Linked DNA regions of Coturnix japonica. The protein of the gene in region 3 purifies or fractionates together with the protein of the main gene of each other region. This does not show direct contact. Links are inferred from orthologs where the notes say so. Each region holds a gene or a part of one and is shown on either strand. Other genes may lie near its edges. The genes, in order: GSK3B, PRKAR1A and AKAP11.

Region 1 (3,654 bases), about 77 Mb from region 3:
GGGTTGCGGTAATTTCAACCAGTACTGCTGCAAGAAGGTATTGTGATCAAGGCAATGCAGATAAAGATTTCAATATAATTACGTGAACAGAGCAGTGATACCAAATAATTTATAGGAGACAATTCTGGTTCACGTTAGCTGGGGAAACAGCTCTCTTTCTCCTGATCAAATCTTGACACCTACAGCCACTCTGCATCTCCAATAAGGAACTACAATAAAAATATCCAGTTGTACCAGAACACCAGATTATCTTCATTCCCCAAACACAATAAAATGCCTTGCACTGGGAAATGATGATACTGAGAGCACCGAGCTGTTTAATATTTCAGCGCTCCAAGAATGCCTCGGAGGAATTAGTTTTGTACCATTTACTTGGTCACAGTAACAAACTTTCTGTGTAACAAGCTTATAGAGCAGTTTCTCTTCAGAGCAGAAGAGTGCTGGAATCAACACAGGTTTCATACTCCTCTTTCTGTACCTCATCACTGAGCATACCCTAAACAGAAATATCATTTCTAGGTGACACTAGGTCACACAAAGGATTTCTGGACACGCTGAGACTGAGCCTGGACAGAAATCAAGTCTTCCTTTAAAATTAGTTTTATTTTTAAAGAAAAGACAAAAACCCTTTTTATAATTAAAGGTCACAAGTCATATTTTTTTTTCTGATTGAAAAACTCCAGGCATAAAAGCGCTTGTCATCAAAGAGCAATGACAGCCGCTTTTATGTGCTGAATCACAGCAGTCTTCAATGGCCAACTAATATGGACAGATAGCAACATTTGTGACCCAGCAGAATCACTGAGAAGCTCTAAGAAGTTTAGTAAATGGCAATCACTTTACAGGATGTTTGAAAAATTCATCTTCTAAGAGAAAAAACAAAATGCTTTCAGTGCTTTCTGTCTTGCAGGTCTAGGAGTCACTGAACTGCAGCACTGGCTACTACAGATGCTTTGTTGGGCATGATCATTTTTTTTTTTAAGTCCTAATTAGCACATATTATTTGTTCTTATACTAAGAAAAATAGAGACAAGACAGTAAGAATGATCAGATAAAGCTCTCTTAACAGCTCTCATCTCTACAGTAGGCATGCACACTCCTCAGAACCACTGCTGGCAGCCAAAGACCACGATCTTTATCTGCCATATACACTCCATGCTTTCTCTTAGACCACTGCCTATGTCAGCAGATTTGGTATGATGCCTATGTTCTTTCTGAAAATCAATTCAGTACAGTAACCACCAGATCCATATTGTTATTTCTAACAGCTTTGTTTTCAAGCCCTCTCCACCTCCTACTCCATGGGTTTCGGTCAACTGGCCATAGCCAAATAAAACACTTCCTTTAAGATTTAATACTGTCTGTTGAAAACAAATGTCATACAAAACAAAAGGATATCTTTCACTGCTTTCAGAATTACCAGAGGTGACACGAGTTATCAACATATCTGATTTCTAAAGTCCTGATCTGTTTCCCAAATGTGATTTCTGCTTTGGATTAGTCACTCTGATGGGGCCACTGATGACAACACATTGCCACAGGAGCAGCAGAAGCTCTTTGCGTATCCTCAGGTCATAAGTAGTAATGCTGCTAGACAGGACCTATTACTGCACATTTATTAACTAATGTCTTAAAAGCACTTTATTTGCTTATTCTTCAAATTCTGTGGGGTTTTTTTTTTGTTGGTTTTTGGATATTTTTTGGCTTGTGAGAAGCAACACGGCTCATCTGGAAATGTATTAATGGCCAACCTCTCTCCTGCATTCTCTTTCTAGACGCTAACACTGGTACCTGTCAGTGACAGAAAACTGCTTTTTTGAATCTTAAGCATTTTTTCTCCCTGGAAGCAATTTCTCCTGCCATCCCCAAGAGTCACTGTGAGAGCACATCAACTCTCTAGGATGGCAAAGGAGGGGTTTACTTGAGGATTAAATTACTCAGCAGTTTCCACACTGCCTGGGGGAAACCAGGGACAAACTCCCAACATGTGTATTTATTTTTTCTCTAAGGATTTTTTAAAAGTACTTAGTACAGATCTTTCCAATCCTTTTTTAAACCCTTGTTTTCATGTAGTAGATTTACGTTCTGCAAGGCAGCCATTCAGAACAAGTTCATTGCTCGGGCACATTTCAGCAGATGGACATCACATGCACTAATTTCTGATTTACTGTGTCAGTATGATACCAGATAAACTCTACAGTACATAAAACCTGGACAGTGACACTCCTGCATTTATCTCACATCCAAAACCAACATATGCAGCAACACTACAAACTTCCCTGCCAACCTTAATATCCACTGCTCCTCAACATGGCACTGCAGGAATGGAGGAACAGGGACATCTCCAAAAGGAAAAGCCAATCTCCATGGTCACTGAGCATGGTACTCCACACATACACATCATCTAGACTGCAGACACTGAACTGCAAAGGTAAGCCTTTTGATTTTTAACTTTTGAGAGTGCGATGTGTGCATCACAGCAAACATTTATCCCAGCAGGGATCCTCAATGCCTGCAGGCTACCTTGAGTGGTGAAATTGAAGAGTGCAGGTTTCTCTCGCCCGTTTGGTAACTTGACATTTGGGTCCCGTAGTTCATCGAAGAAAGAGTGCGCACAGGCCTCCAGGGGAGTCAGGCGGGCAGTGGGGGTATACTCCAGCAGACGGCTACATAGCGCAATTGCTTCTGGTGGAGTGCGGGGCCGGAAGACCTGCAAAAAGCAAGCAAGGAGAAACAGGTTGTCTGGGTACGTCCCTTCCCTTTGCTGAGCAGCAGTAAGCCAGAGCAATTAAACCTCTCGTTGCCCAACGCGCTGGAACAAACTTGTGTTTGTAGTAATCAACGTCCTCCAGCGAGGATGGGAAAATCCAGTTCCTGGGGTTGAGAAAGGGTTAATTGCCAAGCTTTGCACTCAAGTGAAGGAGCAATGCCAGCAAGAGACTTCATGGGAGCGCACTCAGAGAAACAACTTCAAGAATGAAGGGGGGACTCATTCAAAAGTCATGACAAAAACACACAGGTGCTACCAGCCATGCACATGGGGTGGAGTGAAGGTGGGGAGAAAGGGTTCAAATGAGCAGGATTCACTGAATGCAAAAATTGAATAGGGCCCCACTATTTTTTTTTTCTTTTTCTCTTTTCATTTTTCTTTTTACTTTTTGCTAGTGAATGAAGTCTTACTAACATGGACCTTTGCAGGCAGTAGGTCAGATTGTTGCTATGGAGGCTGCTGTTCAACTTTGGAGAACAACAAGGGAAGCGAGGGTGGGGTGCAGGAAATGTCTAGCTCTAACTTGCAGGTTTCTCCTTCCTTAACCTTATTCTGGCAAGTCATTCCTATAATGGGATAACTCTTGCACATCTGGTATTTCTAAGGCTGAAAGCTGTGTCAAGAAAACCAACTATTCTATTCTAAAAGACTTTTACCCGGGCTGATGACAACACAAAGCTCACAGCAGTTCCTCACTGCAGCTTTGTGTTAAAGCTCTAAGAACAGCTATAAACACACTTAAAAATGCTCCCATCCTCCTCTCTTCTTACATAACAAACAAAATAGAAGGTTATCATGTAGGTGACCTGGATGGCCTCTCACTATGTTGAACTATGAAGTTAGGAAAGGAGGCAAGACACTAGTATGGCTCAACAGGACCTGCT
Region 2 (3,654 bases), on a different chromosome or scaffold from region 3:
TATACGCTGTTATATTATAATCCAAGAATGCCCTGTGAGCAAACATGTCCAATCCTTACCTGTGACCAAATAAATCAGTGTGCACTAGGAACTTAGATTTCTTTTTCCTGCTAGCACACATAGGCTTTTTCAAGCCAAAGCAACTTCATCACCACAGGTTAGACGCTGACAGTAGTATATGACACCACTGTTGTCACTACAGAACTTACCAAAATAATCAGAAGGTGCCAGTCTACCCACTTCAACAAATTCTTCATTTTCTGATCGACGCTGTAACACTGCAGCTGTGCCCTTTAATTAACCACAGCAATTAAACAATTAGAATTTCTGCTATCACTTAAATTACCAAATTCCAGAATCAGTTGCTTTGCAGAAATAACTTATGTCAGTCTTTAAAAACTGCTTCACAGTTCATGCATAGTTCACCAGACTGCTCTATAAGAACAACTCACCTTCCTTCTTCTTTAAGTTTAAAACATCCTGGCTGTATACTTTCCATACAGCATCGATCTCTTCCCATTTTTCTTACACCAATATTACAGTACAGTTTGCAAAAAGAGATAACAATACCACTATAGCAGGATATTACTATGTGTATCTATATATTACTATTTAGTAATGTGTGTTTTTACTCTCCTGAACAGAATGAACTGGTTTAAGTCAGAAACATTATTTTTTCCTGGAATTACCATTTATAAAAATAGCAAAACTAAATATAAGCTGCTGCGTGTCCAGCAAGATAACATCTCATGAGGAATTCTCTAAAAGTACATTCCAACATTTCATTTTTCTCTCAGCATCTATTTAAGGGCAGAATAAACAACACTGAAAACATAGACAAACTTATGAGGCTTTGATTTTAGTCCTACTTACCTCCAAGATAATGAAGAACTCATCCCCTGGCTCTCCCTGGACCACAATCTTTTGCCCGTCCTCAAACTGTACCGGTTCTAATGCATCAGCTACAGTAAGGCGCTCCCACTTGTCCAGAGATTCTATGAAGTTAAGAGTTCATTAATAGGTTGTCTTTTTGAGGTACAAACCACACTCTTTCCTCTATCCTTATAGGCAGAACAACATATTTACAGCTGCAGTTGGGCACTGCATATCAAGACTTTAATTACAATTATTTCTGAATGATGCAGAAAAGCAACACAGACGTTGCAGTCCATTTAACACATTACCACAATAGCCTGACGTGTAATCATAATAGTGCTGAGTAACAGCTTAATTGCAATACAGCAATTTATTCCCCTTTGGAACAACATCTTTGTACTTACCCAATATAGACACCTTACTGAGGAATTCCTCATACATCTTTCTCTTTCTCAAAGTACTTCCCTATGGAAAAAGAAATAAAAAGCACACAATGAAACAACAACAAATAACTGCAGGTTAGCAGACAGCTACTTGCGTCACTGAAACCACACACCAGTTAGACAAATACTTGCCATCAAAATCCTTCTGTAGCTATCTCTGTCAATGCCCCACAACTTCACGTTTGTCTTCGCTTTGACAGTTGCTGCACGGGGAGTTCCATATATAAGGGCAAGCTCTCCAAAGCTTCCACCTTCACCAACACTGGTTGCCCACTCATTGTTCACATAAACCTGAAAGCCAAAGCCCACGGTGTTTGTAAGGCTGGTCAAAGATATGCGACGCTCCCACTACCCCGCATTTCCTTTATAACATAGGGAAATTCTTTCATCTACATAGTCAAAGTGATCATTTCAGGATTTCATTTACGCTTCACACCCAAGCCCAAACTCCATCACAAGTTTTATTTCCATTGACAGTGGGTCTGCTGATCACATCATGTGCACAGAGACTAGAAATGCAGACCCCACAGACCCTTGGATAGGAAAAAAACCTTAATAAGCCTCTATGAAACACAAAGGACTTGAATGGACTTCCAAGAAGCTGTCAAAAAAATTCCATAGAAAGCTATGGATTATTTGGATTAGAAAATAAAAAGGTCTGTCATTCTTAAACACTTTACCCAGACTCCAAACTTGTCAAGTATTAGTACTTAATTAACATCTGAATAATTCATTTTAAAGTTAAACACAATTCACAGCCTGTGCAGTCAAACTGAAGTATCAAAGAGCAAAATAGCTCCAAAGCAAAATTAGCTTCTACAAGTTCCAACTTCTTAAGAGAAAAGCTAATAAAGGATGTGTAAGTGAGGCCTGAGAACACCATGCTACTCTTCTGCTAGGGACTGAATGCATCATTAATAAGCTACCAATAATGCTTACATCCATTTCTCCTTGATCAACAACGTAGAAATTATCACCTTCATCCCCTAAAAACAGGAAAAAAAAATTAATATACACAAAAGGTACAGTGAGGCAAACAAACTTGTACAAAACCAACATCTCTGCCAGCTTTGATGTGCAGAATATAATGAGGTTGACAGAGACATTCTGCACAGCTGGGAGGGGGAATATCATTTTATTCCACACTTTTTAGTCATTTGAAAGATGACATCTACTGGCATTCAGTACATCAGCCACACTTCCAAGAACGATGGAAAGGCATACTGGATCCAAAAGTTGTCCTGAAGTATTTTGCAGAGTCATTAAATCACAATCTTTCCAACAAATAACATGTGAGGAAACACTATTATTCCCACAATTGCTTCTCTCCTTACTTCAGAGCATGAGCTGTGCTTCAGTTAATGTGACAAGAAAGGTTTGTCACACCCAGGCAGGGTTTTAACTTCCAAAGAAGCACAGTAACAAGAGCATTAGGTCAGGGCCTGCTCACCATCCCACACATTTATCAATGTCAGTAATGTCACTTGCCTTGCTGTATGACAGTCTCGCCTGCAATGTAAGTGACGGGAAACATTGCATCAAAGATGTCACTGAAAAAAGGATACCAAAATTAGACAACTGCAACACACACACAGCCACCTCATCTAGTGAAAGGTGTCCCTGCCCACAGCTGAAGGGTTAGAACCAGATGATCTTTAAAGGTCCCTTCCAATCCCAGCTATTCCGTGATACTGTGCATGCATTCGCACACCTCCAACCTCAACCAACCAACTTTTCCTGTAATCTCTTTACATTTACACTGACTGTTTGTAAACAGGCTGTGCAACTTTGTATTTTACTATACAAATGGAAAGTTAAATGCAACTTGTAACTTTTAACTTAGCATTATACTATACTTTTAAGACTTCGACAAAGATTTATTCCTACCTTCTCTCATTATCATCAAGATGGGCAAACAGCACATTCTTCTCAATAGCTTTTGCCAATGCAGCCATAGTTTTATAATCTTTTGGAATAACCTAGGATTAAAAAAAAAAAAAAATCAGAAAAAGTAACTGACTCAATTTCTAAAGAGAATCTTCTGAACTATCCAGGACTAACAAATGACTCACACTGCTACAAAACTCAAGTATTTTCGGGTTCTTTTAAGCACTGTAGTTCTAAGACACAAATACAGTCAACTTCTACAGCCAGTTTATTCAGAAGGTAAATAAAACATTGAATTTATGCAACTGTAAAAACCACAATTCCATGTTAAGTCCGTAGTGTCTTTTCACAATTGCAAGTATATGTTCAACTAATTTCTCAATGAATAGCAGCAAATCTGCTCCACCTCTGGGTTAAACTTAATACTGCTGCATCCGTTAGAAGTACT
Region 3 (2,897 bases):
AGGAAAATGTGGGGAGAGGGAGAAAAAAATAGGAAGAAAAATTTGTATATCCCTTTACATTTACTAATTACCAGACCCATCTTCCACATATAGAAATAATAATAGTTTTTTTCTCCCCTCTTTGCACTCTAGAGAAAGCTGATTCCTGTAACTTTGCATTGTATCACCTATAAAGGAGCAAAAGAGCCTGTAGTGGTTTTTTGGTCTTTGTCATGCGATCTTTCAATCAGCAAAATGGTAAGTCGCACGAGGTAATAAACTATGACAATAACACAATTTTAAGTTAGCAATAAGGATTCATGTTGTAAATTCATATAGGTGAGAACTAATACATAATACAGATACATCAACATATGTACTTCTATGTGCATGCACATGTGTGAACACACATTTGCATATATAAACCTAACTCAGTTGGACTGGTAAACTCTGAGATCCAAGACAGGGTCCCTTTAGAAAACCAGATGACAAATGAAAACTAAAATAAACCAGGTCTCTGTAAGAAGACTTACACTGACTAGTGGAATGCCTTCCTGACACACAAAGACATTGCAAGAAAAGTGCTCTTACCAGTGTGACACTTTATAGTAATTCAGGACACAAGGAATCAGAAATGTACATATTGCACTATAACTTGTGAACAGATTTAAAGACATCAGTTTTTTTCCATTTGGGATCATACCCTGAAATGCACAACATACCAACAATGTGCTTTTCCATAACAAAGCCATTAAGATTCTTTTGTTTGCCCAAACTAAGTGAAACATCACAATTTGCTTTCAAGTGATATGAAGCTGAAGGTGGCAGCCTTGTAATTACGAGCAAGTGCCTTTTTCTAAAAAAGAATGTATAAAAACAAAAAAGCAAACCCCAAAAGAATAGGATATGTAAAGATCCAGATATTCCTTCAGACAGAATGGCAAGTCAGCAGTACTGGTAAGAAACATGACTAGATCGCTAAAAAGACTTGATTAAAAGTGCCTTTAAAAATATTCAGCAAAGGTAGTTAAGAAAAATGAAAAATCAATTTGCAATAAATTTCTCCTTTAAATTTAAATTAGCTTTCCTTGTTAACACTTAAGTGCTCAGCAAGTAACAAAATTCTCTTTATTACTAAAAACAAAACTCATGTATGGAAGGTAAGAAGTAAAGAATTAGACTGGTCAAAAAGATGGCCACAATTCTTGGAGAAAGAAGATTCCATCTGCTATTTTGTATGTGAAACTCTCCCAGCTTTGGCTTGGATTACTTTTCTTCACAAAGGTTTGTATGGTGGTATGTTTTAGACTTGTGATGGAAATGATATAACACACTGATATTTTAGTTGCTGCAGAGCAGTGCTAATGGAACTGCAGATTTCAGCTTCTCAAGATGACCTGTCAGTGAGGAGCTGAGGGACACAAGATGCTGACGAGGGACACAACCAGGACAGTTGATAAAGATTAACCAAAGAGATATTCTACACTATGTGGTGTTGTGTACAGCAAAAAAAAATGGCAGGGAGGGTGGCATTTGGAGTCATGGTGGTTGTCTTCCCAAGCACCCATTACATATGAGGGAGTCCTGATTTTGCTTTGCTTGCAAGTGCAGCTTTTGCTGCACTTGTCTTTATCTCAAGCCATGAGTTCTCACACTTCGACCTTTCCAGTTCTCTTTGTCACTATGCTGTGAGGGGCAGTGAACAAGTAGCTGAGTGGTGCTGAGCTGCTGCTGGGATTAACCATAACAAAGACTAACATACAAATTCTTCAGACATAAAATCAATACTACACAAGTATTTTGATACAAGAACTTCAGTAAGAAATTTAGCAATTTAAACTTGACTGGCAAACTTCAGGAAACTTTGCTTAAGTTTTTAAGAAGCTCAGCTGCCCAGTCTGTCCTTCCAGAACTTACCAGATCTACAATCAACAAAAGGGAACAAGTATTTGCACTTTAATTTCAGAGCAGACTCTCACGTCTCCGAAAATTCAAATTGAGAAAGGCAGCTATGAAGGCAGACTTCACTAAGGGTCTGCCTGGGCAAGTCCTTTTTATCCACTCCTGATATTTCTGCCCTTGTGCACCTAACACCTGGCCAAGATTGATAATTCTGGAAAATCCTGCTGCAGACCATGAGAAGAGGTTTTTCCAGAACCTAAGTGTTCATAGTCGCACCATGAATACAGAACAGGCACAAATGGGAAAGAGCAATCCTGGTGCAGTGGGAATCCTCACTATCCTGCCTGAGACTGCCTCCTCTGAACTACTATCACAGACAAGGTACTTTTTCATAACTATCTCAACGGTCTGAACACAGCAGTAAATACAAGTTATGCATGGGTGGGCAATGTTGATTATGGACTGAATAAACATACCATGTGCACAGTATCACAAAGCACAGCACAGATACTTAGACTTTCACCTCAGTCTTTTAAATGCTGACAATTACTTGAACATTCATTAATCAAATTTTACATTATATATCTACGTTCTTCCCATCTCCTTTTAAAAGAGGAATGAAGCGAAGAGTGGTGCATCTTTGGACTATTTCAGACGTTATCCAGAAGCCACTCAACCAAAGACTTATTAAGGGTTTGCTCTCCATCGGATGCCTTCTCTATCATTTCACAGTACTTCAATACTGCTTGCAAGAGATCTCCCACTTTCCAATCTCTTTCTCGCAGTCTTCTGGAAAGCTAAAGGGGATACAAGGGAAACACAAAACAAAATATTTTGACCAGCACATCCTGATTAACAGTTACAGAAGTTATTCTTGAAACATTAGCTCATAAAAGATCAGTTGTAACAAGTTAATCATGATTCCCACATCTACAAAAACAAAAACTTCCTCAAGGATCAAGCGCTTTTCACAACAGTTTCTTCTGGAGGGAGTGACATTTTCAAATGATCTGGTG

The links.
Region 1: the proteins of AKAP11 (region 3) and GSK3B purify together in Homo sapiens (affinity purification with mass spectrometry; 4 studies listed by BioGRID and IntAct, with this or other methods). This does not show direct contact. The link is inferred for Coturnix japonica from reciprocal best matches to the Homo sapiens genes AKAP11 and GSK3B.
Region 2: the proteins of AKAP11 (region 3) and PRKAR1A purify together in Homo sapiens (affinity purification with mass spectrometry; 3 studies listed by BioGRID and IntAct, counting the BioPlex papers as one, with this or other methods). This does not show direct contact. The link is inferred for Coturnix japonica from reciprocal best matches to the Homo sapiens genes AKAP11 and PRKAR1A.

What each region holds. Positions count from the first base shown.
Region 1 is NC_029516.1:71,756,468-71,760,121, reverse strand, and holds part of GSK3B (glycogen synthase kinase-3 beta), read right to left. Parts: intron 2,711-3,654; coding exon 2,524-2,710; intron 1-2,523. UniProt on the Homo sapiens protein: Constitutively active protein kinase that acts as a negative regulator in the hormonal control of glucose homeostasis, Wnt signaling and regulation of transcription factors and microtubules, by phosphorylating and inactivating glycogen synthase (GYS1 or GYS2), EIF2B, CTNNB1/beta-catenin, APC, AXIN1, DPYSL2/CRMP2, JUN, NFATC1/NFATC, MAPT/TAU and MACF1.
Region 2 is NC_029533.1:6,395,061-6,398,714, forward strand, and holds part of PRKAR1A (cAMP-dependent protein kinase type I-alpha regulatory subunit), read right to left. Parts: intron 3,299-3,654; coding exon 3,207-3,298; intron 2,870-3,206; coding exon 2,808-2,869; intron 2,306-2,807; coding exon 2,259-2,305; intron 1,611-2,258; coding exon 1,452-1,610; intron 1,342-1,451; coding exon 1,281-1,341; intron 996-1,280; coding exon 874-995; intron 292-873; coding exon 210-291; intron 1-209. UniProt on the Homo sapiens protein: Regulatory subunit of the cAMP-dependent protein kinases involved in cAMP signaling in cells.
Region 3 is NC_029516.1:148,946,426-148,949,322, reverse strand, and holds part of AKAP11 (A-kinase anchor protein 11), read right to left. Parts: exon of another isoform or gene 2,691-2,897; intron 2,679-2,690; coding exon 2,532-2,678; 3' UTR 1-2,531. UniProt on the Homo sapiens protein: Binds to type II regulatory subunits of protein kinase A and anchors/targets them.